4 separate regions of the Mus musculus genome follow, and regions 1, 2 and 3 are each reported to be linked to region 4. The links are microRNA targets in miRTarBase. Many come from high-throughput screens and were not tested one by one. Region 4 holds a microRNA gene; each other region holds the end of a gene's coding sequence.
Evidence for each region. The annotated mature microRNA mmu-miR-149-5p reads UCUGGCUCCGUGUCUUCACUCCC and lies in region 4 at 2,490-2,512, shown strand. An mRNA with a match to its seed (bases 2 to 7 or 8) in the 3' UTR can be bound and repressed. Matches are read on the target gene's strand: a 7mer-m8 pairs with bases 2 to 8, a 7mer-A1 pairs with bases 2 to 7 and ends in A, and an 8mer does both.

Region 1: the mRNA of Cemip2 is a reported target of mmu-miR-149-5p. The part of its 3' UTR that is shown has no 7-base or 8-base seed match.
Region 2: miRTarBase lists Ikbkg as a target of mmu-miR-149-5p. Seed matches in the 3' UTR shown: 7mer-m8 at 3,763-3,769.
Region 3: miRTarBase lists Rad51c as a target of mmu-miR-149-5p. Seed matches in the 3' UTR shown: 7mer-m8 at 3,085-3,091.

What each region holds. Positions count from the first base shown.
Region 1 is chr19:21,854,824-21,862,969 of GRCm38, reverse strand. It overlaps Cemip2 (cell migration inducing hyaluronidase 2), which reads right to left. Exons shown (of 24, transcript NM_001033759.2): 23 at 7,208-7,311; 24 at 4,610-6,815. The coding sequence ends at 6,619. Among named protein-coding and RNA genes, the nearest start is that of Cemip2, 81 kb to the right of the region's middle.
Region 2 is chrX:74,447,308-74,455,453 of GRCm38, forward strand. It overlaps Ikbkg (inhibitor of kappaB kinase gamma), which reads left to right. Exons shown (of 10, transcript NM_010547.2): 9 at 552-613; 10 at 910-6,471. The coding sequence ends at 1,052. Among named protein-coding and RNA genes, the nearest start is that of Ikbkg, 22 kb to the left of the region's middle.
Region 3 is chr11:87,372,890-87,381,035 of GRCm38, reverse strand. It overlaps Rad51c (RAD51 paralog C), which reads left to right. Exons shown (of 9, transcript NM_053269.4): 8 at 144-204; 9 at 1,549-4,391. The coding sequence ends at 1,650. Among named protein-coding and RNA genes, the nearest start is that of Ppm1e, 18 kb to the right of the region's middle.
Region 4 is chr1:92,847,892-92,856,037 of GRCm38, forward strand. Mir149 (microRNA 149) reads left to right here and starts at 2,487; the gene lies at 2,487-2,552. It overlaps Gpc1 (glypican 1), which reads left to right. Exons shown (of 9, transcript NM_016696.5): 2 at 5,456-5,614; 3 at 6,967-7,355; 4 at 8,016-8,146. It overlaps Gm29480 (predicted gene 29480), which reads right to left and starts at 906. Exons shown (of 4, transcript NR_166170.1): 1 at 810-906.

The DNA of each region.
Region 1 (8,146 bases), not on the chromosome of region 4:
AAACCCTGTGAAAGGACTGTTTGACCCTAAAGGGGTTGGGACCCACAAGTTGAGAACCTGCTTCATGGTAAAAGGGGTTGGAAGTGACAAACTGTTAGCTGGACTCAAGTTTCCCCTCACATGAATAGCAAGAGCAGAATGCTATACAGCCCAACCGTAAAATGGGTGTGGCCGCATACTTTCACTGTAGTCATTTCCACATTTCAGAATTCTGGTTTGTAACAGCTGGGTTACTGAGCTGTGGTACCCTCACAACCACCAGCATAAATGCAATCCTCCTGCCTGTGGGTGTTCAAACCGGTTCCCTAAGCAGGTTCTGCCTAACTCCATGTGCTGCTGTCCAGAAACAAGTAAAACAAAGGCAGAGACTAAGCAGCACAGGGCAGTCTCAGTGTGCCCTCCGCCATCTTGGAAATGTGTTTAAAAATCAAGTTCCTAGTCCATTAACTGTTAGAAAATACTAAAGAATGTATAAGGATGTGAAACCCACCAGGTGTTTCAGATTGCCAGCTGTTTGTGAGTCAAGGCCACTTTCATTCAATTACACGTGTTTATAGTACTGCTTGACAAGAGAGAAAGCTGAGGATTGGAGGTAGGAAGCTGCTCCCAGTAACACCACTAAATGCCTTTAGTGGCATCAGACCTAAGGTGCTCATCAAAATACCCATCATACCTATACCAAATAACTACCAAGCATTTCACTGCCTCCAGCCTATAACTGCTAAGAGCTGTCTTCCTTAAGCGGTCTTCAGAAGTATACATATACATACACATAGATGTATGTGTATGTTTATATATATACACACACACAGTATTGTATATATGTGTCTGTGTGTATATATGTATTTTTATATAAAATATTTTATTTAAAAAGTATGTCTACATATATATATTTATATGTATATATACATATATATTAAATCAACAAGATTTCTCTTTTCATGGGCCTTCTTTTCCATCAGCACTTTCTTCTCTTGCCCATGTTGGGAGTTGCTGATTCTCCTTACCTTCTGAGACTTGCCCTCCTTCAGAAGCCTGGGTTCTTCCCCCAGTAAGTAGGTGCTGATGAGCCGATCCAAGAGAAACTGAGCATGCCCACCCAAGATCTCACTCTTTCCTCGGCAAGACCAATGTCCTTATCCCCAAGTCCGTGCAATCACCTCCTGCCAACTTCCATGAAGGTCATGTAGGGAAAGGCATGGGCTTACAAAGCAAATGCTTGTCTCTAACCATTCGTCCACCTTAAGACAACACATCTGTATTAAAGGAGCAGTGATACACACAAAATAATTCTATTTCCAAAGCCAAGACACCTATGCTGTCATCGTGTGGTCTAATCATAGCTAATGTGTATTTTTATTTCTAGTTCTTACAAAAACTACAAATTTTTTTTTTTTTGCAAAATCCAAAGGATGCCTAAGAGTTCTAAGTAGGAAATAACCGTAGCCAAAGGAATAATGTTAACAGTGAGAATTGCGGAAATCATTAAGGGAAAGGGGAAACCTGATCCTGGGCTTCATACAAAAGTTTGCCTCAGTAATTGCCACAGAGACCCTGATGGCCATCAAACCTGCCTAGCAGTAATCTATCAAAGCAAATTTGGGGTAGGGGGTGGGGGATGGAGGGGGAGACAATGGTGAAAGATTGAGCCAGTAAGCTATGAATGCACTCACCGTACTCCAAGTGCAGCGGGGTGTGTTCCTACTGGAGGAAGTGTGGAGAAGAAATGAGTGCATTACTGGGTCCTATGGGGCTTTCACACTGCAGCCTTCCTAAGCAGCACCTGGAGAGCCTGTGCTGCAATTTCAAGGCCAGTTCCACCTACTGGAGATGCCCGTGGGGTGGGCGAAGGGCAGAGCCTGTGCGGTCAAGTGGCTCACGTGACTGCTACAGTTTTTTTTTTTTTGTTTTTTTCATTATATATTTTTTAAGTTCTCCAAATGTTGACACATTCCACAAACAAGACAAGGAACTCGACCAGTGGGCCTTTCCCCCAAGATCAAGGCTCAGCCAACTTTTTCAGGAAAGGATTTAAGAGTGGGATTCTGGGGTCCTGGTGGGCCAAAGGGTCCTTCAACATTACCAAGGCACACAACAGAACTCACTTCTCCACCGACAATAATGTATTAAAGACCTCAAAGTAATGAGAAGTTTGAATGTATTCACCATAATGAATGATGAATCTTCAAGGAGTAGGTATAGTCTTACTTAATGGATACATGGGTATATCAAAACTTCACAACATACATTGGAAAAAACTAGAAAATAAGAAAGCAAAAATTCATCAGTTCAGTTTGTTAACTTTGATCATAAAACCATGATCATAGCTCCTGACCTTTTCTGGGGGTGACCTTTATATAAGACAATCATTTTGTCTATTAAGGAATTTTTTTTTAAATCATCCATGCATACTCCCCAACCTTCATCGTATTTTCAGCTAAAGCATTTTCATCATGTAGCTAATGTTTTTGGAGCTCTTCTGGGGCACAGTTGCTCATTCAGAAGGTGAGTCTCCTTATACCATCTAACAATAAAGCGCCCAGCAGGCCCCAGGGGAGCGCCTTTAATCAGCTAGCTTCTTCACACTGAAGCTAAAGGGAAGTGAAAGAACCTTCGAACCTTCGTTTCTGAATGGCTTGAATCACCCACCCAGCAAACTGGGAGTAACATCACTTGTGAAGAAGGAACCTGGGCTGGCCTCTCCAGGACATTTGAAGGTTGAAATACTTGGGGTCTAGACTCACATGTAGAGCATCTGTGCAGCATGTGTAAGGCCTGTATTCACCCCCAGGATGGAGGGAGAAAGGAAAAGATGGAAAGAGGGAAACAGGCGGGAGAGTGATAGAGGGAAGAGGGAGAGTGATAGAGGGAAGAGGGAGAGTGAAAGGGGAGAGGGAGAGAGGGAGGGAAGAAGGGAGGGAGGGAGGGAGGGAGGGAGAGAGGGGGGAGGGAAAGAGGGAGGGAAAGAGAGAGGGGGGGAGGGAGGGAGGGAGGGAAAGAGAGAGGGGGGAGGGGCTAATAAGGAGAGAGGACACAGACTAACTTCAGCCCAGAGTGCCCAATCTTATGTGTAGCAACCTAATGTGGCTCATCACCAAGTCAAACTGACAGTACCATTACAATCTGTTATCGCATTAACAATAATATTATTATTGTTAATATTACTACCCTAATAATAATAATATTATTGTCATATCTGTTACCCTATTAGAGGTCTTCACCCTAGAATTCTTCCATGTCATTAAATATGCCTAAGTAAGTACTTGAACCCTCATCAAGAATTCCAGAGGTCTGGTTTGAACAAGGCCCGAGAAAGAAGCTGGGTGTTGAAACTACTGCTATCACAGTACTTGGGAGGCTGAAGAGGGACGATCTTGAGCAAGAAGCTAGCCTGGGCTACAAAGTAAGAGCTCACCTCAAAACAATAAATAGAAAGAATTTAGAGGATGAAGTCCAATTCTGCAGAATGGAGCTAATAAGTATTCTCAGTGGGACCTGAGCACTTATCTGCCAGAAGGGAACGAGCACTGGGTTAAGTGCATGCCTTCGTCTGGAATTCCTCTCTACTGGGCTACTCCAAACACTACTTCACCCCGTTACCAGGAGCACTCAGCCCTTGTCCATCTCTTCCATGGCCTCCCCTCCTCCACAAAGAGCAACCTGCTTAATGGTATTAAGATATAAGAAGGATGTGGTACACTTGGCAAACAGAGGAACCCTGAGCCTGTCTCCACCCCAGACTGTAAACATCAGCTTGGAGGAAGCTTGAGAATTATCTGCCTTGAGGCCGTGCACCTGTCTTTCATCTTCTCAGACTTGAAGTCGTCACCTTTCAAAATAATCTACGAAGCACCAGCTCGGGTAGCCACTCAAAGGCAGGACCTCCCGTCAAAGACAGAAAACAGGCATCAGTTGACATCTGAAAGCCACTATAGTTCTCTTTAGTCAGTTGATGAGTGGAAACCCATCATATTTCGGGAACCCAGCCAAGTCCCTCACCTGAGAGAAAATGCGCCCCCGCCCAGTTGTAAATTACCTTGGAACACATTTTCTCAGCACAAAGAGAATGCAGTGAAACCTGGGCATTTGCCTGTGTGCCTAAAAAGCAAAGACCGCAGATAGAAAGGTACATTTGAAAAAGCCTTTTAAAAAGTACCGGCAGTAAGATACTTTAAGACTGAGAATCCTGTGATCAATGTAGGGAGGTCTCAAAAGAACATACAGACACGTGCAGGTGTTTTTTAATCACAACAATTTTTTCAGATGAAAGCTGAACAGTGGGGTTGTACGTACAGTGTTTCCAACATGGCTGCATGTTGGAATCACCCAAGGAGCTTAAACTTAAATTAATAAAAAATTAAAATGAAAAAAAAAGATATCACATGTCCCAGCTACACCCAAAATCAATGAACTCTAATCTGAGAGAAGCCAGTGGGATTCAGACCGCTGGGTTTTTTAGACCCTGCAGGTGAATCCAACATGCAATGAAACCTGGTCTCCCCCTCATCGTAAAACTTATTCCCTTTTAACTCTGCCTTACAAATCTGCTGTGTGAATGGTCAACCTTTCCTACTGCCACTAACTTCTTTAAAGCTAGAATCTGAGACCTCAGCAATTACAGAGATTCACAAATACACATACATAAAATACATGCACACACGTTTTTATTTATTTAACTTAGGCCCTAATTATTAGTACATAAAAATCAGAAACACTGAGTGCCTTGAAACTTGCATACTTTCTCCAAATATATATAAAAAAGGAACTCTAAAACAGCACAAAACAAATATATTTAAGTCATAACACACACACATCTGCACACACAATCAATTCACTCACCTTCAGGAACCATGACCCACTAAATATATTTAATAGGTAAGATCTCACTGTACAAAAAAAAAAGAAAAAAAAAAAGAATGAAAGAAAAAGAAAAAAAAATACAAACAAAAAACCCCACATCCAAAAAACCCGGATAAACAAGTAACCAAACTTTGATTAAGACACGTGCCCATCCTGTGAGCACTACAGTCCAAATGGTTTGTCACAGCACTTTGAGGTAGCATGTTCTGTAAAGTTACACAAGTCACAGAGCTGTCCTAGAATGTCTCCTGGACACAACATACAGGCATCAGCCTCGGCCCTCCACGGAGGAAGATGAACTTTTCTGCACTCAATTGCTACCGTCAGCCTGGCTATTCAGCCACCCGCCTTTGGGCAGCACAGCAGCATTCTGATGCCATCTTCCCTCTTGGCTGCAGAGCCAGCATCCTTTGCCACATGTGTCCCCACTGGCTGAAGAAAGGGCCAGTAGAAGCAGCACTGGGAGACCCAGAGTCCTTTCTTCTTGTCTTTGAAAGCTACATTCACTAAGAGACTCCCTCTTTTAAAGGCTACAAAGAAGATCATGTCCATTGCCTCCATGATTCCACCCTAAGAAGGCATCTCCTTTCTTTCCTTGAATACAATATTTATGGAGGAGCAAGCGGGAAACTCTCTGGGATTTTCTGGTAGGACAATGAGCAGAGCCGCTTGGAAAAAAAAAAAATCCACACAACAAGACAACAAAGCACAGGTACAAGACCAAAACCAAGGACAGGTTTCCCTTTTGCAAGTTAGCTTTTGTTGACAGAGTGATTTTGTTTTGTTTTGTTTTGTTTTGTTTCTTTTGAGACAGGGTTTCTCTACGTAGCCCTGGCTGTCCTGGATCACTACGTAGACCAGGCTAGCCTCAAACTCTCAGAGATCCACCTGCTCCTGGAGTGCTGTGATCAAAGGCGTGCACCACCACACCTGGCTTTCTTTTGCAAGTTCAAATGACAAGAGTTTTACAGTTTAGGAAGTGGCTTGCTGCTTTTAAAGAAAATTAATTCAGTTCCGCTCTGCGTTTTAAAGGTCAAGACAGGTTAAGGATTAAAGCTGCAGAAAAAGTTCCACCTGGATGCAAGTAATAGGTTTATGTTGTTGTTTCTTTCTTTCTTTTTTTTTCCTCAATGGTTACAGATCTAAAAAATTTCAAAAGCCCTTTTGTCCCAATAAGGTTCCCTCTTTGAAAGGTGAACCCTCAAAAGTAATCAGTATACAAGTGAATAAAAAGAGCACATGACCAGGCAAAAAGGACATGTGCTGGGCCTGAGTTGCCACTTAAAACCATATCTAGCATCACATAAAACCCTCGTGGGCTGTACAGAAATGAGCCCCAGACATCACTGAACAGGGCAGCGACTGGAGTTAGCGCAGGACTGAGCATTGGACTTCAAGTATCTGAAATGCTAGAGCAGCCAGTCCTCGAAGGAGCAAGTTCAAGGAGCCCTTGGACTCCCTGCACCCCACTATACAAAAAGCAAAGCACCCCCGATGTGCTTGTCAAAGCAAGGGCCACGAGACCAACTGCTCTCTGAACGCAGCAGCCTCAGGAAGACAAAAGGGCTCTACCACCTGCACAGTGCCAAGGCCTGCAAGCTGACACTCAGGTAACTGCTTGGATTCCTTCTCTCCCTTTTCTATCAAACAGGAAAATGGTTCCATCGGGTTAACAGTGTTGTCTTAAAATGCCATAAATTAAATAAGTTAGTTCACATTTTTTTTTTCTTTCCCAGCACTTAAATTACAACCAAGTCTCTAAAGCACTTTCAAAGCCTGCTGTAACAGGTCAAGGTCTCTTCTGTGGACACTGCCGGTCCGGGAGCACCCATATTCCTCCATCTGCAACGGGAGAAACTGCTCAAGCACTCCGAGGCCCTGCTCATCGGGACTGGTGAACAGCTTCGTCCATGACGGTGCGAAGTTTCCGCTGAATCCCAAAAATACGACACTACCTATAAAAAGAGAGGGAGAGAAAAGTTAAAGTGTATAGCTATTTCCTACAAGATAACGAGGGAAATGAGTCAGAGTTGAACAAAACAAAGACAGGATTTTTTATATTTATATGTGTGTATATATATATATAATTATAAATACAGATATAGATTTAAAAAAAAAAAAACACCTGCACACCTGCACTTCCTTACATCAACAATGAACTCCTGCCTCCCAAATGACAAGCCATATCCCAACACACTTTCTTTGACACAGTCCTTTATCAAGAAACAATTTTTACAATGCTCACTGCGGGCAGAGCTCATGAGAATAGTCTAGCACACAAACACCACCAAAAAGATACATTCACTGCAGCATCATAGGGTCATCCCAGGATACTGCCAATACAAACCTTTGCTGTACAGATGTGCTGGCTTGGCCAGTCCCAGAACTGCTAATGAATCCGAGATATTCAGCTGCTTAATTTCTCCTCTTGTGCTCAACAGAACGATTGACCTGTGGGGTCCAAGTTAGACAATCAGCACGGAGGCGGGTCACACAGCATGGCATACCAGATAAAGGCAAATTTGGAAAGGAAAACAGAGAGATGCCTTTCAGCCCGACACAAGTCCCAATTCCCTGCTGCAAAGGGAACTACTTCTCATGTTCTTGGAAGGGTGATAACACAGGGAAACCCACAAGAGTCACGTAGGCATGAGGGCAGGCTGGAAGCCAGCCTTCCAGGGTTAGTGTACTCAGTGGAGAGTGGTCTCAGTTTCTCTTGGGTGCTCTACTGCTATCTGTGTCAACACCTCTATGATGAATAGGTGAACAGGAACTCAAAATGGAAAGATAAAAGCGGGGGTGCCGACCAGTACAGTGTTGGTCTAGCATAGAGAGGGGCCCTAGACTTCCCAGAGCTACCATAACAGTAACAAATAAATAACAACAAATTACGATGCTCTCGATGGTTTAAAACTTGTTTTTATTTGTTTCTTTGTTTTAATTGCCATCTTTAGGGCTACTGAGAAGGCTCAGCAGTTGAGAGCAGTTGCTGTCCCTGGACCAGAGGACCAGGGTTTGATATCCAGCACCTACTTGGCAGCTCACAACCACTTGCAACTCCAGCTCTAATGTATCTGATGCCCTCTTCTGGTCTCTGAAGGCACCAGGCACACACGTACATATGAAAAATAGTAAAATTTAAAAAAAAAATTGTCATCTTCACTGTACAATAAATCAACACAATACTTAAGAGCTGTTTGTGGATTCCTGCTTTCTTTGCTGGTAGAGACTCTATGGCTCCAAGGTTTATTTTAGTATCTGACCAACAAGCTTATTGTATTGGTAT
Region 2 (8,146 bases), not on the chromosome of region 4:
TTTGGTTTAGTATCTTTATATATGTAACTAGTTAATATAAGGTCACATTAGGTTAATTAGTTGACTGTGGTACTTACAGAAGCACCAAATTAAGATAATAGAAGGCTGCCACAAGAAGGCTAAGGCAGACTCTGAGATTCAGCTACAAGCCAAGAAATGCCAAACACTTTGTAAACCACTGGCAGCTAGGGGGTGGGCATGGTAATTCTGCCCAGTCCTCTGACACGTTTATTTGGGGCACTTAGTCATCTGTATCATGCACGTTTTTGTTATTCTAAGTTACTAAGTATGTGGTAGTTTGTAACAAGGTTCTGAGGAAACTAATATAGGGGAACCCAAGGAATAATTCCTAATAAGTACAAAGTTTCCTTTGGGGGATGATAAAATATTCTAAAATTAGGCTGATGATTGGATATGCTGAATAGAGTAAAACCCTCTAACAATACGGTTTAAATTGGGGACTTATATAGTACATGAATTATATCTAAATGAATGTATTTATTCATAAAAAACCCTATAAGCATTGATTGAATGCTTTCTGTTTTCAAAAGGATTGAGGATATGAGGAAGCGGCATGTAGAGACTCCCCAGCCTCCTTTACTCCCTGCTCCAGGTAAGTGAACAAGTGGTAGATGATGGGAGGAGATGCTTAGGGAGGGGAAACATGTGTTGGTTTCTCTGCTGCTCTGCTTTGGGGAGTTCTTGCTGACCTCTCCTGTCAGTAGCCCACATCACTCTGAGGTCAAAGGAAAAATGTGCTGGTGGAGGTGGCTCCCAGCAATGTAGTCAAATATGGTGGTATCAGTAAGTCTCAGCACCTTGTTAGCCCCCCTTTCCATTTGAGGCCTACCTAGGCTGTGCATGAAGTACTTACATAGTTCATCACACTCCTGTGTTCTTTTTTCTCAGCTCACCACTCCTTTCATTTGGCCTTGTCCAACCAGCGGAGGAGCCCTCCTGAAGAACCTCCTGACTTCTGTTGTCCGAAGTGCCAGTATCAGGCTCCTGATATGGACACTCTACAGATACATGTCATGGAGTGCATAGAGTAGGAGCAGCAGATGCAAGGCCACTTGCAGTACTATGTCCTGATCTGTGTGACTTGTGCTTTCCTGTTTTACCTGCATAGTCCACACTTAAGGGCTTGCTTTAGCCCTTTGGTCCCCCATTTAGGGTAGACAGCCCCATTCAGGGCTTTTTTTTTTCTGTGTGCCTGATCCAGTTTGCCTCTGGTGGCTTCTTCCCTCTTCTCCCATAGTCCTAGGGAGTCTAGAATGGAGGCCAGGGGCTCTTAGGGAGCATCCCTTCTCCAAGCAGGTCTGGGTACAGCTTTTCTTCTCTCCAACTGGTACCTTTCTTGCCGGTGAACTGCAGGCTCTCCTCCCAGGGCATGTGGCACTTGGGTCTATAACATGTGTTACCTCTGGTAGACATGTGGAAAGTATTCTGTCCTTTTGTTACTGTAATTAATGGTGTAGTGAAAGTACTTGTACACTGATCTGTGTGTACCTTTAGGACAGATGCTTAGATGTGACATTGGATCCTTGCCCTGGAGGAGGTGGGCAGACCTTTGGATTTTTGCCATCTCTAAGATATACCATTCTTTACTAAAGAATTTGCTTAAGTGTCTTTTTCTGGGGCATGTGGGCCCTTTTTAATTCCTCTGATGTAACTTGGATTTTCATAATTCCTACCCATTTTTCTGTTGGGACATTGCCATTTGTTCTTGGGCTTTGTAGAGCTTTTTGATTATCAGTCAGGTTGGTTTTGACTATTACAGAAGTGCACCCCTTGTTCCACATTGATTGTTAGTGTTTTGGGGCCTAGAAGCTGTTTTATACTCCTACTTACCCATTCTTTACTCCTAGTTTTTTGACTTTGGAATTATGACTGCTTTGTCAACAGAAAGGTATTTCACATGTATGCTTTCCTTTTTCTAGCCCCAGTGTGCTCTTGTTTTTGCCAAGCACATTGTTACCTTCTGTGAATGGTGGTGGCCATAGTTCATCACACTCCTGGAGTTTGTGATCACATGTTCTTCACCAGCCAAAATGTCCTAGGGAACCATTTAGCAGTGACTGACTGATCACAGAAAAGGGAACACTTCACTTGTTTTGCAAGGTTCTAGACATTTTGTGGGACCTTACCGTCATTGGTATTAGACCTGCAGTTCTAGTAAAGGAAAGGAAGTTGTAGTTGAGAAAGCAATAAATATGCCTTGCTCATTCCTTAGGTCTAAATCCTTCCTGCCCTCCTGTAAGCTTTCATGGTTCTGAGTGGTATCTGTGAATCCATCCCGGGGGCTTTTATTTACATGGTTTCTTTCCCATTAAGAGTGAGAAGGCTAAGTAGAATTCAGATTATAAAAAAGGATTTAAAAAGTAATCCTGAGCTGGGGGCTTTCTCGGAATTTTCAGGGGATGCAGAGTAAGTTTTCCATTTCCTAATTCCCAGGTATCTATCAGAAAGATCTTTAGGAAAATGTTAAAGGAACAAACAAGTTCTTTGCTTATGTGTTTTCATTTAAATACCTAATCTATAATTTTCCTTTAGGAATACTATTGGTTTAGGTTGAGTCCAGTTTTGTGGTGGTATATATCACTTTTCTATAGCTGCTTTAAAATTTTTCCTAAACTTGGAAGAGCAAGAACAACAACAACAACAACAACAACAACAAATCACTCTTTCCTGTCTGGAAGCCACATATTAAGTTTTTTCTGGAGGCTGTGAGAATCAATTCCAGGCATTCTCTTAACTTTCAGTGGTTTGTGGTAGTCCTTGGTGTTGCTTGGCTCATAGACCCATCACTCCAGTTTCTGGTTCTAGGGCCTTGTGGTTTCTTCCTCTCTTCTGTCTCATAAGGAAACCATGTTGTGCATGTGGGGTCTATTTGATTAGATTAAGGAGGATCTCCAGTTCAAGACCCTTAACTCATTCCACCTACCAAGATCCTTTCCCCAAATAAAGTCTTGTTCTCACATTATGGGGGTTTGGGCTTATATAACCCGGAGTATGGATATCATCAGAACCTGAGTAAATGCAGCCCAAAGGCAGGGCCTTTAAAGCCTTGTAATTCTGCTAGAGAGACCTGGTCTCTAGGGTGATGACCAGTAGTCTTCAGAGTTTGAAGGCAGACCCTTGTCAGTGCTTGATGCTGTTAGTAGGGTCAGTGGGAATGATTGGGAAAGGCAGGTTGGCTATAGTAGGAGAGAGCTGTTGGGCTGCCTGCAGTGGCTGCATGAGCTTCACGCTTCTTGGATAAACAGAGATGCATAGGTGCATTTCTGACCAGTACTTTATCCTGAAAGGGTCCCAGAAAGCAGGTGTGACCCAGGTTACACAGTAGGAAGCTTGAAAACATGGGCTTCATGCACTGGTCAAGACAAATCTGAGGGTGGCACAAGGTAATGGTTGGGACCTAGTACCCTTCTAGAAGGTGGGAGCCCTTGCCACCGACTTACCCTGCAGTATGGTGTATGATTAACCGTACATCAAAGATTTGAGATTCTACCATCTTTTTGACATGAGACATGCTCTTTTCTTTTGCAGAATTACTTAAGCTAGAACTGGAAAAAGTGGTCGTTCCATTCCCCTCAGGAATTAGTCTACTTGCTTTTGCACAAATTTTATGTGGCCTCTGGCAGACAACTTTTAGATCCATACAGCTAGAAGCATGCCCTTTCCAGAAGACCTGTTCTGGAATAGATAGTGCTTCTTATGTATGCTCTCTTCCTGTTGGCCCATGCCCAAGAGAAAACCAGAGAGCCAGTAAGACAGTACAGAGTGCTTCACCTACTGAAGTAATAAACGATAAGGCAGATTGTAGGTAGGAATGATATCTAAAAAGGAACAATTGCAGCCCTGTGTGTGACACCCTCAGGCAAGGTAAGGCCTACCTTTTAGTGTTTCCCCTTTCAAGGTGGGAGTTTGGAGAGATGAACAAGCACTTTGGAAGCATCCCCAGCCCTCTTTACCTGACAACAGTTTGGTCCTCACAGTGACTGCTTCATTGGAGTGCCTCTCCAGTGTTATGGCACCATCATCTGTTACCACCCAAGGCTGTGATGAAATAAGATACAACATATCCGATGACACAGGCCTGCATGGCTAGCATCTTGAACATTTTATTACATGAACATTCTCTGTACGATGGTATAAAAAGGCCCGAGGATTAAATTATGTATAAAATATGAAATAAAGAAGTAAGACTTTCAAGCATGCACTCTGTCCTCCCTTGTTGGATGTAGGGGTAGGATTGCCAGTAACAAAGGTTTTCTTTGCTATTTCTATCTCTTTAATTCCCCTGTATTACATAGGAAGTAGCTGTTACACACAGCTCTGAGGTTTCTTCTGCCTATGGCTGAGGAAAGCTCATTATTGACACAACAGAGTGGTGAAAGGGGCCAAGTCAACTAATTTGGGGCTTGAATTTCCTGTGGTTGCAGCAACAAAGTACCACACGTTAGGGAGCTTAGGCAACAGATTTCCTCTCCCTGTTAAGGATGGCAGGCATCTGAGAAGTGGGTTCCTCATAAGGGATAACCCATTCCAGTGCCCCTCTCCAGTGTGTGGCAGGTCCCAGAAATTCTTAGTTTTCTCTAGTTGTACCTGCATCTCTGCCTCTGCCACTTTTGTCACATGGCCATCTTGTGTTTCCTTTTTATAAGCACACCAGTGTTGTATACAGGTGGGTATTTGGAAACATGGAAGCATTTTGTTCAGTATCTAGTGACAGTGATGGAAAGAGATGATTTGCAGAGAAGGTCAGAGCAGCATGAGGGTCTTAGGTATGGAGCTGCAGCCAACATTATGGACATGGAAGAGAGGGATTGCTGGACTTTTGGTTTCCTGCCTGGGTACCTGGACAATCTATCTACCATTGGGAGGACTAGGTAACAGTGGAAGTTAGTTATGAGAGAAGTTGTTTGATGTTCAATTCTGATCTAGCCAGGCTCAGTGTGAGATGTCCTGGGTCCCTTCATCTTGCCTTGACTGTTAGGTGCAGTTTCATATTGAAACTGCAGGCTCTTTTTTATCCATTGCTACTGGCAACCAGTGTGATCTGGTAAATCTGTTTCCACTTTGCTTAGTGCTCTCCACTGATTTTCTGTTACTTGAGACCTAAACTCCATCTTCAGCCTTGTGTTGATCTAATGTCATGTCAACTTCTCTAAAAGCTCAGCCAATTCTACACTGGCCTTCTATTCCTTTCCTCAAACCACTTAGCACTTTTTTTTTTTAAATTTTTTTAGATTTATTTATTTATTTATTATATGTAAGTACACTGTAGTTGTCTTCAGACACTCCAGAAAAGGAGTCAGATCTTGTTACGGATGGTTGTGAGCCACCATGTGGTTGCTGGGATTTGAACTCCAGACCTTTGGAAGAGCAGTAGGGTGCTCTTACCCACTGAGCCATCTCACCAGCCCAGCACTTCTGTTTCTTAAGGCTGTTGCTCCTGTTGTCTCCTTTGCTGAGAAAGTTCTGTTCCCTAATTTGTACTGTTGACTACTTTTTGTCATCCATATAAGTGTAAACAAAAGTTCTTTCATCTGATCTCTTCATCCTAAATCATACTACCCTGTTTTAACTCACATTACTACCACTGACCTTTTCTAGTGTTTTTTTCTTTTCTACCACTAGAGGGAGACAGAAGCCGTATCAATTTAGTCGTATACTCAACACAGGGAAACTGCATTTACTGATGGCTGAGCTTGTCTGAGACGATATCAGGATTCCCCTGCCAATATCTTCATGGACGTCACTTGTCACCATAATTGGTGACTTATAGAAGTTATTAATGTACTAGAAATTATAGTACAGAAATCTTATTTTAGGACTATAGTACCAATAGCCTTTTTTTGTGGTGCTGGGGATAGAACCCAGGGTCTTTCACATGTAAGCATTCATACCATCACTGAGCTACAATCCCTGGTTATCAGCTTCTCACTTTATTTACCTTCCCCTGACTTTGACAGCCCTGTCTAGTTTGGAACTTATTATGTAATCCACGATGGCCTTGAATTTACAGCCATCCTCAGCCTCTCCAGTGCTAGGATTATAAATATATCTGACTAGCTTATTTTTTTCATTTTGTTCAGGTTTTTAATGAGTGTCTTGGTTTCAGATATGAAAAACAGAATTTGGAAGAAAGCCAGTTGGGCCAGTCTGTGGTAGAGCATGCACTCAAAGTTGAAGCAAGATGTTAATGAGTTCTAGGCTGGCTTAGGCTTCATAGCAAGATCCTATCTCATAAAACAAAAAGTTAACTGGTGATTCCCTGGAGGTGAGAGGGGTGAGGAGAGAGTGATAGTTAATGAATACAAAGTTCTTTGAGGGAAAATGAGAATATTCTGAAATTGGCTATGGCGATACTCATACATTTGTGAATGTGCAAGGAACACTTCAGATGAATGACTTTTGTTGTATATGGATTAGGTTGCAATAAAACTGGCATTTAAAATGTTATCTAAGCCCTGCAGTTTTCCAGAACTTTTTGTGACAACGAAGATGATATAAAAAGAGTTGAATATTTGCTTTTGTTAAATTTAATTTTATTAATTTTTACTTATTCACTTTATATCTCGCTCACTGTCCCATTCCTGGTCACCCCCTCCCACAACCCTTCTCCCCAAATATTTGCTTTTGAAGCTGTTTGACAGGTGAACTATTGATGAGCTCTTGGCATTGTTCCACTAAGTAGAAGGGCAGAGCTGGAGGTGAGACATGTGTGACTGACTTTGTCTCACAAAATAGAATGATCACACCATAGCCTTTCTTCTGAGTTCCACAATTGGAACTAACTGAAGACTAGCAGTTGCCTCTAAATCAGCATGGACTGGACAACACATGGGCCCTACCTACTACACCAATAGAGGAACAAAATTAAGTGGGCAAGTATGATAGGTAGTGGCCAGTGGGAAAGAAGAGACCACCTAGGCACAGCAGCTTTTTTGATTTCACTGGTGCCAAGTATCCTAGGATCAGGGCTGGGATGGAATTTGATTTGTCAGTCTGGCAGGCCCATCCATGCTCTTATGGATTTAAAGATTGGCTCCATAGTTAAGTATATTAATGGAAAAGGGACACAGATGTGAAAAGGGTAAGGATATTTGCTCTAAATATTTTGTGTGACTGAAAGAAGAGTTTAGGATGGGTTACAATGTCACAATGGGCTGAGTTCTATGACCACTGTCTAGTGGTTCTTGACCTGTGGGTTGCAACCCTTTTGGGGTCACATATCAGATATCCTGCGTGTCAGATATTTACATTATGATGCATAACAGTAGCAAAATTACAGTTGTGGAGTAGCAATATGAAAATTAATGGGTGGGGGCTTACTACGGCATGACGAACTGTATTAAAGGTTGCAGCATTAGGAACGTTGAGAACCACTATGTGGGGCCCATTTTGGCTATAATAGGCAGAGTCACAGAAAGTGTAAGGAACTTACATCTGTGTTAGAATGAAAGGGAATCACACTATGTAGGAATCAGTGCATTAATGGGGAGACTTCACACTTGAAGATACAAAAGAGGGACTCCAAGCTGTAGAGGATCAGGTTTTGTGTTTACTAGAGAATTGACAGGTTCCAGGGTTAGGACAGAGAAAGCACAAGGAGCCAAATAATATTGTCCCAGAAATATAAGGATGCTCTTAAAGAAAAACTGAGACACATTTAGCTGCATTAGGCATAAAAATCAAAATGACTGCAGGCTGAAATAAAAGTGGGCACATAACAATAGCAACTGTTATTGCTATTGTGCCAGAATTACCTTGATAATTCTGAAGGTATCTTGAAGGGAAGCAGCAAGAATTTAATATATTTAGCAAATGATAGAACATTGCTGATAGTTATCAGGGTGAGATATTGGATTTTTCATTTAAAAATACTTATTTGCAAATTTTTTTCTCTTTTTTTCTTTTTATTTTGTTTGCAAATTATTTTTAGTTATGTATATGTATACATGTATGGAGTATGCACATAGGTACAGGTGTTTGTAGATGCTAGAGGATCTGACTGCCTGCAGCTGGAGTTACAGAGAGTTGTGGTCTGCCTGACATGGATGATAGAAAACAAACTTGGGTTCCCCGAAAGTGCAAATGCTCTTAACCAATAAGCCATCTCTCTAGCCTCATAGGATTT
Region 3 (8,146 bases), not on the chromosome of region 4:
TAAATATATTTCTTTCCACTTTGTGTACTTGAGAATACATGATACAAGCATAGTATAGGACTCTGTACATTTAAATTATAAACTCAGTCATGTGACCTAATTAATTAAGGTAATGTGTTTATGTGTACTTTTTCTCCAAACAGATTTGCAACATTGTACAAGTCACCAAGCCAGAAGGAGTCTACGATACCATTTCAGATCACAGTCAGTATCATTTCATCACAGTGAGATTTTGCAGTTGTTGGGCAGTAACTATCTGAAGAGGTCATCTACAAATTGTTTCTGTTAATTTTATAAGCAGCAAGCATATTTGAGGATAGTCTAGATGTGAGAACACCATCAAAATAGTATTTACACAGTACTGCAGTCACAATTGAACTGAAGTTTATCTTTGAGAACAAATGAAATATTTATATATTTATGTATGTTCCATGGCATATGTAAAATCTCTCTTTTATGTTAAAAGTTTTCAGAAAGGAAAAATGTATAACGGGGCATGATGGCACATGCCTGGACTTGGGAGACTGAAGCCGGCGGATCAGTTGTACAAGGCCAGCCTAGTCAGCATGAGATCCTGTCTCAAAAATACCAACAACTAAAAACCAGGTTTCTACAGGAATATTACTAATTTTGGCCTGTAGATAGTAGCAGCCCTTTGAAACATCGTTAACTTCCTGAGCGTTTCTGTCACTGGGCTCTAGGCCCTAGCTGGCCTCACACTCACTACAGAGCTGAGCATGGCCTGGAGCTTCTTTGTTTGTTTTTGTTTCTTTTGAGCCAGGGTTTCTCTGGGTAGCCCTGATTGTCCAGGACCTCACTCTGTAGACCAGGCTGGCCTCACTCCCGTATCCACCTGCCTCTGCCTCCCAAGCGCTGGGATCAAAGGCAAGCGCCACCGCACTCAGCAGTCTCTTATTTTATAAAGAGAAAACTAGAAATGGAAAGCAGTTCTGAAAGTGAATTTTCCACTTAGTTTTTACACTAACCTCACTTAACTTACATTAACCTGTTCTCAATTATTTTGTCTTGTTTGAGACGAGGTCTTGTTATTTAGTCCAGACTGGCATTGAACTTTTGACCCTCCTGCCTCCGCTGCCTAAGTGATGCTATTACAGATGCATGCCACATGCCAGGCAGAATAATTTTACTATAAAGTGATTTGTGAAGTGCCTACGTGGCTATACACACTACTTTCCACTTCTCCTAGCCAAGGCGCCATACAGCTTTTTAGGATTCTTTCTAGAGAGCTTTTTTGTTGTTAACTTGGACATCACCACTCATCTACGTACAGGTCAGGTCTTAGAAAGCATCCTTATGCAGTGTTATTTTTTTTTAATGTGTGTATAGAAGAGCATATATAAAATGCTCTAATAAAACTCTGGGTTAGACCACCTGCAAAGTTTATCCTCTTTATTCAATGATTAATAAATTCTCTCCCAAGAATAACATAGCTTATTTAAAGACTATTTGGAAAATTAATCTTTTTAAATTGTCTTTTATGTGTGTGTGTATATATATATTTTATGTGTGTATTTCTCTACCTTGCAGCCTCAGGGATTTAGAGACGCTGTTGTCACTGCTGCCTCATCACAGACAGAGAGTTCTTTGAATTTCCGGAAACGGTCACGAGAACCAGAGGAAGAATGCTGACCAAATGCTGATGCCAGTGTATCCAGTTAACTGATGATGTGCTAGTCAGAGTGTAGTGTGTGTGTGTGTGTGTGTGCACTGTGTGTGTGTGTGCACTGTGTGTGTGTGTGTGCACTGTGTGTGTGCGGGTGCCTACAAAAGCAAGCGGAGGGTGGTGGATCTCGTGGAACTGGAGTTAGAAGTAACTGAACCACCATGAAGGTGCTGAGAACCAGAACCTAGTCCTGCAAGAACCAAAAATGTTCCCAACTGCTGAGCCATCCATCTCTCCAGCTCCTCCACCCTGTCTCTGAGGCAGGGTCTTCTGTTTTGTCTCTTCATTCTCCAGGTCTGCACACTTTAACTACTTCTGTTTTGGCCTCCTGTCTCACTAGGAACCCTGGGATGCAGGTGTGTAGCACACTGTGGGCTCTGAGAATTGAACTCAGGTCGTCAGGCTTGCAGAGCAAGGGCTTTTACCCACTGAACATCTTTCTAGGCCCTCCTTAAATTTTAAGAAAAAAATCTCTCCCTGAACGTGGAGCTCACTGCTTCAGGGCCACCTATCTACCCCAGCAGCACCAAGATGCACACATGTGCTGCACTGCACCAGCTTTTATTATATGCCGTCCTCATGCCTGCATGTCAGGCACTTTACCCATGGAGCTGTTTCCCTAGCTCCTGAAAAGATTTTCTGAAGCACTGTTCTATAATTATATTTTAATGTGTTTTTATTTTGAGTAATGTGGAAAGCTGACCTTATGTTACCTATCTGGATTTACCACCCAGAGTGGAAAATTTCTTTGTCAATTGCCTAAAAAATAATAGAAATAAAACACTATAATATGTTTGAAGTGTGTGTATATGTATCTGTGTGTTTGCCAACTGTGTGGAGGCCTTCAAAGCATGGAAGAGGGCATCATGTCCCCTAGAACTGGAGTTATATGTGGTTGGCTGCCAGATATGGGATCTTAAGTAATTTCTGAGTCATGTCTCTGTCCCTCCATATTCTTAAATGTAGCTTTGGGGGCCTAGAGAGAGGACGCAGGAGTTAAGAGCACTTGTTGCTCTTTTAGAAGACCTGGATCAGTTATCAGCACCAAGTAACTCCAGTTCCAGGGGATCTGACCCCCCCCCTCCTCAGCCCTCCACGGACACTAAGCATGTATATAGTATACATACATACTTGTAGGCAGAACACTCAAACAAATACGAAATAAAATTAAAAATAAACAAATGTAGCTTTGAAAGCAATTAACATATCACTGTTTAGTTAGTTGAGTTGGTTTGGTTTGCTGACTCCTGGTCTGTGTGTCCTCCTTGCTGCTGGGTTGCCCAGAGCACCTCCTGCAAGCCATTGTTGGAGGCAGCACACAGTCTGTAATAGGGGTTGAAGGTCTGTGCCTCCCCTCCAAGTCTTTGTGCCTGGGGACAGCTAAGCCCTAGAGAGAGGCAGAGCCAGGTTTGGCTCCAAGTCAGGGCCAAGAGTATGTATGGGAGAGGCTGGAAGAGAAGGCCTTCTCTGAGAGATTTAGGTCTGAAGCCCCTCCCCACCCTGGAATCCTTGATGAAGAAATAGATGGTCCTTTCTTTGATGGTGGATGTGAATGCATACACCTTACTCAAGGTGAACCAGGGATTAAATACCTTTTGCAGGAAGAAATGCCCAGGAAGGGGAAGCTCATTGGCTGAACACTCAGGGCCTGTGTAGCTACTTCATTAGCATGGAGAACTCCAGGTTCTTATGCTGTGTGACTGATGGGTGTTATGATTACGTGTTCCAGAACAGATTCCCTGGGGTTTGAACGTGTGTGTGTGTGTGTGTGTGTGTGTGTGTGTGTGTGTGTGTGTGTGTGTGTGTGTGTGTGGTGGTGGTGGTGTTTTGAATAGATTTGGCCTACACAGACTCATATATTTGAATGCTTGGCCTTTGGGGAGTGGCACTATTAGGTGTAACGTTGGAATAGTGTGGCCTTTGTAGGAGGTAATGTGTCACTGTGGGGGCAGATTTTTAGGTCTCCAATGCTCAAGTCATGCCCAGTGTGACATACAATCTCCTGCTGTCTGTGGATCAAACTATAGAACTCTCAGCTCCTCTAGTACCATGTCTGTCTGCATGCCGCCATGCTTTCCACCATGATGATAATGGACCTTTGGCAGCCCCAAATTAATTTTTTTTTTCCTTTAAAAAAGTTGCTATGGTCATGTTGTCTCTTTATAGCAATAAAACCCAAACTAAGACTCTGTGTGTGTATACATCTTTCTATTTAGCCCTGGCTGGCCTGGAATTCACTATGTAGATCTCTTGTCAAACAAAAGAGATCTACCTGTCTGCCTCTAGGCTTAAAGGAGTACAGTCCATTCCTATAGTTAATTTTGTGGATGGTTTACAAATTTGAGCTGATGAAATTAGTTTTAGTGACCTCAGTCTATTTGTTTAATTTTTGTTATTTGTCATTTTAAAGGGAAAATTTCAAAGCTATGTGTAGCCATTGAAATATGTCCTCTAGAATAGTTAGATTATGGTAAACTTTGTTTGTTTTGGGGTTTTTTTTGTTTTTGTTTTTGTTTTTGAGACAGGGTTTCTCTGTATAGCCCTGGCTGTCCTGGAACTCACTTTGTAGACCAGGCTGGCCTCGAACTCAGAAATCCACCTGCCTCTGCCTCCCGAGTGCTATGGTAAACTTTAAATGTAGATTATTATTTATATCTACGTTTTTGAAGTGCAGTGTGAATAAATAAAAATTCTGGACTTTTAAAAATCATTTTTATGAACATTGGTGTGTTGCCTGCATGCATATCTGAGTGAGGGTGTCAGATCCCCTGGAGCTAGAATTACAGACATCATTTAAAAGGACTAGAGAGATGTCTCAGTGGTTAAGAGCACCTACTGTTCTTCCCAAGGACCTGAGTTCCCAGCATCTATGTCAGCAGCTCATTTCCTCTCCAGGGGCTCAAATACCCTCTTTTAGCCTTCTTGAGAACCTGTGCACATATGGCATGCACTCACCCAGATACATATACAGAAATGAAATATTTTAAAACATCTTAAAATGTAGGATATTTGGTCACACTGTGAACCCTGAAATTGTGTATGTATTGAACAAAACTTTATAGATTTGCTGGGCCTTGGCCCTAACACTCACCTTTAATCTCAAGCAATGAAGGTAAAGTTTGGTTCTCTGTGGAGGGAGAAATTCTAATTTTTTTTTTTTAACTACTGGAGTCAAACCCTGAACTTGAACTTGTGTATGCTACATGGTACACAAGCCACTCTACCACAGAGCTATATCCCAGCCCCAGAAAAAATGTACTTTTAACAATTGAATATCATATATATTTGATAGTGTTTTCAAGATTCTCATAGTAAGTGGTATTTTCTGTCCTAAGCTGAACACTAAGAAAGTTCTTCATTGTGACTCTTGTGGAGTTTACATATGGGCTAACTCTAGCTTATTAGGTGTGTGCATGAAAGCAGAACTCGTAACATTCACACCAGGGCAATCTCAAGCAAGCATGTGGCCATCCTAATCACACAACTGGTTTGAGATAACTGCTTTAGCAGTAGGTTGATTATAATGGCATTAACTGATCATCATTAAAGTTGCCCATCATTTTGTAGTCTGTCCATTCAGGCCTCATAAAGCCAAGAGTGTCAAAGTGTTCTGAGTAGTAAACACTGTATCTTCAAGCACTGGGTAATGGGGATTCTTGCTTTTTCTTTCCTATTTTATCTTGTGTGAGGCAAGGTCTCACTGCAGTCAGATAGACTTTGACTTCACATTTGTATCTTCATCGTCAATGGGAAGACTGTAGAGGGATGCGCCTCCATACCTGGGTTCTGCTTGTACTAAGCATAATGCTTTTCTTTGAGGTGCTATGGGACAAACTTAGGTTATCACTGTGGTATCAGATTGCCGTACTGGAAAAGACCCTGAGACCCTGATTATTTTTTATTAGATATTTTTTTCATTTACATTTCAAATGCTATCCCGAAAGTTCTCTATACCCCCCCCCAGAGACCCTGATTATAAAACAAAGCCAAGTGCTTATGCGTGTAATGCCTTTAAAATAAATTTACATAAGAGCTTTTAAAGTTCCTATTGCTGAAAATATGTTTTTCCAGGACAAAAAAAAAAACAGATTTTCTATATACCTTTTTTTTTTTTTTTTAAAGACTGCAACTGCCACAGAATAAGTGACTTTTCTAGCCAGGCATGGGAAGTGGAGGCAGGAGGAGTTAAGTCACCCTAGGCTTGATAGCAAGTTTGATGCTGGCCTGAACTACATGAATGCCTGTCTGTCTGTCTCCACCACCCCCCTTTTCACTTCTAGAGACTAGAAATCTGATGCCCAATGTAGTCAAGTTTTGGTGAAAGCTTTCTCCCCAGCTTGCTTGAGAGACATCTACCCTCAGTACCTGGGTATGGAAGTCACCAGTTGTATCAGAGTAGGAGAAAATAGTTTTGCTTTTTTTTTTTTTTTTTTTTTGTTGTTGTTTTTTGAGACAGGGTTTCTCTGTGTAGCCCTGGCTGTCCTGGAACTCACTTTGTAGACCAGGCTGGCCTCGAACTCAGAAATTTGCCTGCCTCTGCCTCCTGAGTGCTGGGATTAAAGACATGCACCACCACGCCCGGCTAGTTTTGCTTTTTATGTGTAGGAGTGCTTTGCCCTGTGAGTAGGTATGTGTACCATGTGCCTGCCTGGTGTTTGTGGGAGTCAAAAGGGCTTTGCATGACCAGCAACTGGAGTTAGAGATGGCTGGGAGCCACCATGTGAATCAAACCAGGCTCTCTGTAAGAGCAATAAGTGTTCTTAACTCCTAAGCCAGATCTTTACTCCAGGATCCAACTATTTTACTTTTTTGTCTTTTTTGTTTGTTTTGTTTGTTTGGTTGGTTGGTTGGTTTTTCAAGACAGGGTTTCTCTGTGTAGCCCAGGCTGTCCTGGAACTCACTCTGTAGATCAGGCTGGCCTTGAACTCACTCTGTAGACCAGACTGACCTTAAACTCAGAGATATCTATCTGCCTCCTGAGTGCTGAGATTAAAGGTGTGTGCCACCAATACCTGGCTGTTATTTTAATTGGCATATACATTGTACAAAGTAATGTGTTTCCTGAAGACATTTTTATTCTAGTATATCATGACTCATTCCCAGTGTTTTTATGTCATGTCTGTTTTACCACGTTTTGGACATAACTAGTACAACAGTAGCTTACTTTAAAAACTCACTTTGGAAGAACAAATACCAGAAATTTACACTGTTTATTGCTGTACTTGGAAAATCAATTTGATTCCAAGTAAGTTTAGGTATTTAATATGATAAAATATAAAGTTAAAAGCGCACACAACCTAAATCAGCACCTGGTTTTGTTTATTTTTAGGATACAAGCTTAACATTTTAAATATAGTTATTTCATATCTACATTGCTAAGAAAGAGATTATTCCATCAGGGGCCAGGAAGATGCTGCATTCAGTAAAATGCTTGCCATGTAGGGAGGGTTTGAGTTCCATCCATGGAACCCACATGAAAAAACAAAAAGCAAAAACTGTGTATGCCTGTGGTCTCAGTACTGAGGAGGATGAGATGGGCAGATCACTGGAGTCCACGGGCCAGTCAGCCCAGCTGAACCTGTGAGCCTGGTCCAATGAGGCCCTGTCTTTTTATACATAAGTCCACTGTAGCTGTCTTCAGATACACCAGAAGAGGGCATCAGATCTCATTACAGATGGTTGTGAGCTACTATGTAGTTGCTGGGATTTGAACTCAGGACCTCTGGAAGAGCAGTCAGTGATCTTAACAACTGAGCCATCTCTCCAGCCTGAGGCCCCGTCTTAAAAGAGCAGGGTGTACAGCAACTGGAGAATGCACTGAGTTGTTATCTAGCCTATACATGCATACACACACGTGCGTATACTTAAGAAAATCATAACTCAGACGATGGTGGCACATGCCTTTAATCCCAGCATTGAAGAGGCAAAGGCAAGTGGATTTCTATGAGTTCGAGGCCAACCTGGTCTACAGCATGAGTTCCAGGACAGCCAGGGCTATATAAAGAAACCCTGTTTCAAAAAGAAAGAGAGGTGGGGGGAGAGAGAGAGAGAGAGAGAGAGAGAGAGAGAGAGAGAGAGAGAGAGAGAGAGAGAGAGAGAGAAGAAGAAGAAGAAGAAGAAGAAGAAGAAGAAGAAGAAGAAGAAGAAGAAGAAGAAGAAAAGAAGAAGAGGAAGAAGGAGGAGGAGGAGGAAGAGGAGGAGGAGGAAGAGGTGGGGGAAGAAGAGGAGGAAGAGAATAGTTCTACCAATATTTTTCCTGGGTGATGCATGTGTTTGAATGCACTTTTGTATGTGTGTTCTTAACAACTGAGCCATCTCTCCAGCCTGAGGCCCTGTCTTAAAAGAGCAGGGTGTATAGCAACTGGAGAATGCAGGTGAATGTGGTTGTATGTGATCACAGTTCAGATTGGGTGGCCAGAGGCCAACCTCATGGGTTGATCCTTGCTTTCTATCTTGTTTGAG
Region 4 (8,146 bases):
GGATCCACCACACCACGCCGAGACCCCTAGCCTCATCTTGGCCTTTCCTGCTGAGTTCTGCTGCTCTGCAATTGCCAGACCACTTCACTGGCGCTGGAATCGCCCTTGCTATCCGGAGTGCATCCACAGCTGGGGACACTATTGGAGCGGCCATGGAGAAGGGGGTTCTAAGGCCAGGAGGGTGTCCGCTAAGCTACCAGGCTACGTCTGCTAGGCACCATCTCTATCACCATTCCTGTCTGCATCCCCCCTCCTCCATGCATTCACCTCTCATCTTCAGTTCCATTCTCTCGCAGCTGTACCCCCACTACAGCCTATCTCTGTCTCATCCCCTTCCCATCAAGAGCTTGGTCATCAGCCCTGATGTCCACTCATGTCTCTCAGCTCCCACCTCCATCCCATCCCCATCTCCCTAAAGTTGTGCTGCACCATCCTAGATATTCCTCTCTACCCCATCCCTCCCCCTGCACCCCTCAGGCTGCCGCAGCCCCCTTTCCGCAGTAAGTCCCCCTTCCTCTACTGAACCCATCCCCCCTTTCACCCCGCCCCCGCCGCCACAGCCATGGCGCTCGCTTTTCTCCCTCCTTTTTCTGCCGCCGCGCCCACTGCGGCAAGCCCCTTCCCCGCCAATCACATCGCCCTCTCTCCTCTCCCTCCATCTCCCGCTTTCCGCAGCCCCCCTCCAAATGCCCCCCTCTGCCTGCCGCAGCACTCAGCTCTCCGCACCAGCCGCGCCCACTGCACCAGCGCCCCCTCCTCACTGCGGCGCCAGAGCAGGCGCCTGCATCTGCAGCTCCGGCTTATCTTACCGGCTCCAGCTGTACAGAACCATCCCCGTTGCAGAGGAGGCAGCGGTCGGTCGGAGCTGCAGGTGTCGCCCAGGCTTTGTTCGCCCAGGGCCTGGCCTGATGCTGGAGAGGCAGCTGGCAGGAGCCCTTGCCTGCCCGGAGATGACCCCTCCCATCGAGTCCATAGAAGTGCCAGCAGCCGATGCCCCCCAGTTAGGGGGTCCCTGTTCGTGATGGAGGTTCTTCTTGGTGATGTTGCCATTTGGGTGAACCGGAGGCAGGGGCTCGGGAATCATGAAGGCATCCAGGAGGGTGGAAAAGTATTGGGAGTGAGGTGGGGGCGGGGAGGGGATTGTGCTTGATGCTTTTCCAATTTCAGAGATGGAGTTGAAATGTCTTCCTTCGGGTGTGACCCCCGGGGACTAGACAGGTTTGTTGGGGAACAGGAGCAAGCAATGGGAAAATGCCCCTGGAGCCTGGGCAGTGAGTAGTCCCCCAGAAAGCTGGGCCATTTGCTCCAGGCTGTCACGTCCTGGAGACTCTCAGCCTCTGGGGCTGGAAAACCCAGGAGCACAGAGGGCTGGTTTACTTCTAACCTACCAGTCAACAGAAAGGCCTGCTCTAGGAGCCAGCAGCTGGGGAGGGGAGTGTAGCCTGTGCCTCTCCCTTATCTGCGGTGCTGAGAGATTATACTCCGAATGCCCCTACACTCCCCCAAGCCGTGCCAGCTGGAGTGTTTTAGGGGCCGTGAGGGAAGTGGGCTTTCCACTCTGCATCTCCCCCGTGAGCACAGGAAGCTTCTAGAAGAATGGACCAGAGGCGGGGTAGCATGACTCTGCATTATCTTCAGAAGGTGGAGGGTTTCAAGGCATTGGGTCCCTGAAGTGTCAGGGGAGGTCAGGTCAGAGATGTCTGTGGGTAGCATCAGGATGCTGGACTCTGCTAAAGTCCTGGGGTGACTGTGGATGATGACCAAGAGGGATGCTGCCTCTGTGAGGGAGGAGCAGGAGCTGGAGCTGTCAGCAGGTGGCAGGAGGGTGTGACCCTGAAAGGTAGGAAGCCACAAGCTGCTGTCTGCTCTGGAGAATAGTGGGGGGCCGGGGGTGGGGTGCAAGCAGCCAGATTTGGGAGGAGGTAAATGAGCAGTTGCTGCCCATGGGTTTGCTGCAATGGGGTGCCATGCTAAGTGTCACAAGAAGCAGGGGTCTTGGAATTTGAGAGGCTTTGGGGTTGGGGACAAGGCTTAGAAAAGGGACTAAAGTGGGGAAAACCTGCCATTAACAAACAACCCCCTTCCCCAAATAAAACCTGTGAGTGCCAGGGGAGGGTAGTGCCCCCCAAAAACCCAGGAGGGAAAGATCTGGAAAAATGAAACCAACTCTGAGAGAGATGGGCGGGGTCAGTGGGGAACAATACTGCCGCTCCACTCCCACCCACCTTCAGGGCTGGCAAGGAGGAAGCTGCTGGTAGGGTAGAACGGAGAGACGTTCCTACGATGGGTATGTACTCCAGTGCTTTCCTGGAAGTGTAGAGAGCTTTGCAGAGCCTGCCTTAGCTGTTCTGATGTTGAGCACCTATGGTTCCAGTTGGGCTGGGTCTCAGCTCCTCTATCTTTGACCCTCAGCAAGCAGGTCTGCCAATGCATGGGCTTCTGGGCAGCCTGACCCAGCCTGCCCGGGGCCCTCAGGCCAGTGCCCAGGCTCTGGCTCCGTGTCTTCACTCCCGTGTTTGTCCGAGGAGGGAGGGAGGGACGGGGGCGGTGCTGGGGCAACTGGAACAGCGCAGGTCACCGGGCTGGCTGGGTGAGGTGGCCAGGCAGAGCCAGGGGGCTGCAGGGGAGGCCATTGGATGGGGTATGCTCATAGTAGCTGGCCAAAAGTCTCATGGGTCCCATTTATCCAGAACCTGCCGTGGAGTGGGGCGAGTTTCTGTTTCTGAGTGTGTGTCCTTAATTAACTTCTTCCTGTTTCAGCTTCGTTCTTCTGTCTATGTGGTGAGGGGTGGCAATTGGGACCACTAAGATGGAGAAGGATGTCAGAGGAGCAGAAACCATGGGAGGGGCCAGTAAGGCTGTGCCCACCTCTCTCTTGCCAGTGCTCTGTTGTGCAGCCTGGTCCTCAATATTTCCACCTAAAACCTTTGGCCTACACACACAGAGTGCCTCTGTCCCAGCTGAGCCCAGGATGGCCCCATCCTGATACCTGCAGCCTCCATCCCCATAGCTGTTTCCCCACTCACTGCTGAAGTCAGAGATGGGTCATCCTCTACAGTGCCCCCCATGATTCCTCCTCTAACAGAAAAACCCTTAAACCCCACCACTCAAAGAGAGAGATGTGGCATATCACCTCAGCCCAGCAGACCATGGCCCGGAGCAGAGCAAATAGAAGGCCCTGCTGGGCCCTGTACCTTGTTGTGCCTGTAGCCTGCTTGCGGGTGGATAATCTCTGCTTAGCCCTCCCTACTCTAGAAGGAAGGGAATCAATCAATGGATGCAGATCAAGTGGCAGGACCTAGGCTTGCAGCTCCCAGCTGTCTGGGCACCAACCCAGCCCTTTCTTGAGGTTGGGTGCTTAATAACATGTTGCTTCCCAGGACCTGCAGTCCCTGTGAAAGGCAGGTGCCCTGGGCAGGAGGAAGCAGTGTGGTAGGAGCAGAGGGTACCAGGTAGGGGAGTGGTGGGAGGGGCATTCCGTGTGCACCTCCCATCTCTGACTCCCTTTTCTCTTGACTCCCCCAAGCACCCTTGAATCAGAATACAATTCCTTCTGTTCTTCTACCAGCTGTCAGCCACTGCCCTGCTCTGTGGACCTTTGGGGACCCTGAAACCAGGTGGGACTCAGCCTGTGAGGCCAAAAGTCCCCAGGGTTCTGGGATGAAGCACAGCTCCCATGCCTTAGTAAGCAGGAGAAGGGCTAGGCCAGGCCCTCAACCTGAGACCTGGAAGAGCAGATCTGAAGGTTGCCCTACCTAGGGATGGAGGGGTGGCATCTGGGGATATATACCTTCCATGTCAGGTCAAAATCACAGAGGCTGTACACAGTTCCACTCTGCAATATGCACACACACACACACACACACACACACACACACACACACACCATCCAGCACACATAAATGCTTGTGCTTACTAAGTGCTAAAGACAAGGATGTGATCATGTAACAAGCTCTTAAGGGTGAATGCAACCTCAGAATCTCTCCTTAGTCAGAGATCTCCACTCCCAGTTGGCTTCAGGGGAGGGGGGTTCATAGAAATGGGGCCTAACACATAATGGCCTCATCCTGAGGTCACAGGTTCCTGCCCCCACATGCTTCTTGACAAGATGTCCACTCCCCTCTGGCTCAGTCCCCCACCTCTGATGGCAGCCTGCAGTATCACATCCTGGAGTTCTTCACATCCCACCTTTCCCATCAACCCGTCAGCAAGGATAAAGCCCAGGTACCAGCCCTGGCACCTACTCTGGGCTCTGGAAACTCTGCATTTCACTGGCTCCCCATAACATCAAAATCAGCATTCCTGCACGAGGGAAGCTTCTAGAATCCCTGCTGACCGCTCCCTCTTCTCAGACCTTTCACCTAAGGCTGGGCCACTGCCTCTGCCTTTTTGATCCACCCAGTCCCTTGTAGGGACTGTAGGGCTCTGTCTTTAGGCTCAGAGACAGCAGTGTGACCCTATGAGAAGGGAGTAGAACAGAGTGGGGTCAGGCATAGGCCCAGTCCTGAGTAGCTCAGCCCCCAACTGGGACAAAAGCCAGTCTCCAAGCCTCAGATTCCCTGTAAATTGGTGTCACTATAGCCTTAGCAGAAGGTTTCCTCTCCCATTGAGGTTTTCTTCTGATGCCAGGAGACTCTCAGGTGTGTGCTGTAAGGGCTCCATGGTAGACACTTTGAGGCCAATTGTAGGCCCAAAGCAACCCTCTGTCAGCAAGTGGCAGTTGATATTGTCCTGAATGGTACTGCTGCAGTGCCACCAAGGGCTGACAGGTCAGCTCACCAGCCCAGGATAGATGGCGGGGGAGGGAGTTTCAGCCAGAACACTATGGGGACTGGGAATGTGTCCAGCTAGTGGGAACCTCAGGCCAGGGTTGAGTGGCCTCTGTTTGGGACCCAGTGCCTGCGCAGAGCATGCTTTTCTTCACCCCAGAATGGTACCCAGGGCCCTTGCAGAATGCTGACACAGGCCCTGCAGAACATTCATGGGGCACTCCACTCTGCTGTCAGTCAGGTGGCCTCTGAGACTGGCCTGAGCTAAGAAGAGGCTGGATTTCTTCTTCCTCCCCCGGGCAGAGGCACCTGCCAGGCTCGAAAGCCTCTATCAGGTCCCCAACCTAAGTCGGGCAGCCTCTCCCTCTATGTGAGGGCTGAGCTGGCTCTCAGGGAGCCCTGCTAGGACTCTCATTGCATTCCTGAGATGCTGGACTATGTCACACAGTACTCGTAGTCTGAGGCTCAGCCCTCTGATAACTATGATAACCTGTGGTACCCCATCCCTGAATCTTAATCAGAGGCCCTGGGAGGTCAGAGACACTGGAGCCCAGCTTTGCCCTACAATGTGCCCCCTCTCCCCATCTCTGCCTTCACAAAGGGCTCCTAACCTGAGCTGAGCCCCATCTTGGGCAGAGCATCCTGGACCACTGTTCCCCCTCACGACACCCTTTGCCGTCCCACAGGTGAGCACCTGCGGATCTGCCCCCAGGGCTACACTTGCTGTACTAGTGAGATGGAGGAGAATTTGGCCAACCACAGCCGAATGGAGCTGGAGAGCGCACTCCATGACAGCAGCCGCGCCCTGCAGGCCACACTGGCCACCCAGCTGCATGGCATCGATGGTAAGTGGGCACTTGTGAGTGTGGGGGAGGAGCCAGAGGCTAGGATTTGGATGGCTAACTCCATAGGAGGGTCTCCCTCTTCCTGCCAGGCTTGAATAGAACAATGAACCCAAGTTATTGTCAGGGCCCTAGGGAGAATGGGCCTGCTCCTCAGAGGGGAACAGCTGGGCTTGAGGTGCTTCTGTGTCCCAAGCAGAGTTCCCCTCCAGACCTACAGAGGGCTGACCTGTATCACCTGCATCTTCTGGGGTCCCCGTGGTAGGCCCACTATCCCAGCTACCGTCCCCCCCGTCAGGAAGCTCAGACTGAAGGCTGAAAGTGCAGGGCTTGTCCTGAGGTAACCACCTCTTGGCCAGGGCAAGAAAGACTCCTGTGCACTTCAAGAGACCAGGTTAGCGACTTTTACAATCATGTGGCCACTGTATATGGGCAGCAGCTCCAACAGTGATGGAATGTTTCACAGGGACTCTGTGGGGCCCTAGGGTCATAAGATTCCCCTAGAAAGTCCCCTCCTTAAACAGAGGTTCACTAACTCCGGAAGAGATACAGGCAGGGCCCAGGCAAAGATGTAGCCCCTGCAGTGGGGTGGAACTGGGAAAATACAAACTGTAAAGGCAAAGAGGGGAAGCACGCACAGCTTGTCTAGCCACAGCTGGGCCATAGCTTCAAGGGTTTAGAAATCACAGCAGATCAGACAGCCCTAACCATTTGCAGACTCTGACACTTGTTGCTAAGCCTTCCTTTATTACTCGGTGTGGGAGAGAGGAGCTGAGCAGCCTCAGACCTTGAGGATGCCACAATCAGGGCTCCATCCCAGAGATGTGTAGTACAGTGACATTTCCCCAACCTCAAAATCTGCGGCACATATTCACATGTTTACACCCTCACCGAAAAGTATCTATCTGGGGTGCTGGTTTGCAGCAGGGCGGGTTTGCTGGAGAACAGGAGGAGGAGGAGGGCTGCTTGGAGCAACCAAGAGCATTGGGGTGGAAGACAGAGCAGTTGGCAGCTAGGCAAGGCTCACTCTGGTTTCTTTCCCACCACTCCCACTACAGTCCCTCCCAGAATCAGTGAATCTCAGCATCTGTTGGTTCCTAAGGTCCAACTCAGAAATGGCCTCTGGAGCTAGAGACCTAAGTACACATGCGCCTATGACCCTAGAGAGGCCACTCCTGACTTCTGCACCTCTGGTGAGGAGAGCCTGAGGAAGCCTCTGCAATATGGTGTCCAGCTTTTATTGACTGCATAAGCAGGCTCTGAGAAGCGGGGGATATTCTGTCAAGCCCATGAGTAGATTGGCAGAGAAGCAGAGCCTCCCCCTCAGGGGGTCATTGCCTCTCCTCTGTGCACAGACCACTTCCAGCGCCTGCTGAATGACTCGGAGCGCACACTGCAGGAGGCTTTCCCTGGGGCCTTTGGGGACCTGTATACGCAGAACACTCGTGCCTTCCGGGACCTATATGCTGAGCTGCGCCTCTACTACCGTGGGGCCAACCTGCACCTTGAGGAGACGCTGGCCGAGTTCTGGGCACGGCTGCTGGAGCGCCTCTTCAAGCAGCTGCACCCCCAGCTGCTGCCTGATGACTACCTGGACTGCCTGGGCAAGCAGGCGGAGGCACTGCGGCCGTTTGGAGATGCCCCTCGAGAACTGCGCCTGCGGGCCACCCGTGCCTTTGTGGCTGCACGTTCCTTTGTGCAGGGCCTGGGTGTGGCCAGTGATGTAGTCCGGAAGGTGGCCCAGGTACAAACACTGCCTGGGGCTCTGAGTAGACCCCTGGGAGTTCCTCATGCTATGCCCTGGGTGCTTGGTATCCCCCACACTCAGCCCTGTTCTCTGAGCCTCCTGGCTCTTAGGCTCATAGCTGCAGCCTGTTATCAGTTGCTTACAGTGGGTCCTTAGATGTGAGTCCACTTAAAGCCTGTCTGTCTGCTGCCCAGTCCTGGGTCCTTATCCAGATGCGGCTGTGGGCAGGGTGAAGAGGGCCATTGGTCTGCTGGGCTCAGGAAACAGGAAACGAGAAAATGATATAGTTGGCCCTTGAGCAAACAGGCCTCACAGGGAAGCACGGTAGCTCAGTGAATGGGAGAGCACAATGCAGATCCACCTGGGGAAGGGTATGCAGAGAGTATCAGCTTTAAACTGCACTGCCTCCATCTCTAGCTAGGTGCGGTAAGTCACCTCCCAACCCATGGGCCTCGGTTATCTGCAGCAAAGCCTCGTGGCAGCAGTAGTCCTGGGACTGTGACACCGAAATGTGTACCTGAGATGACCTGGCCTAGAGCAGAGCCTAGATGTTCTGGCTTGTATCCCAAGCCCTTCACATTGGGGTTCCCTCGGGGCTAGCTGGTGACCGGGTGCACAAGGACTGCAGTGGGGGCTCAGGCTGCCTTTGTTCTCCAGGTACCTCTGGCCCCAGAATGTTCTCGGGCCATCATGAAGTTGGTCTACTGTGCTCATTGCCGGGGAGTCCCGGGCGCCCGGCCCTGCCCCGACTATTGCCGAAATGTGCTCAAAGGCTGCCTTGCCAACCA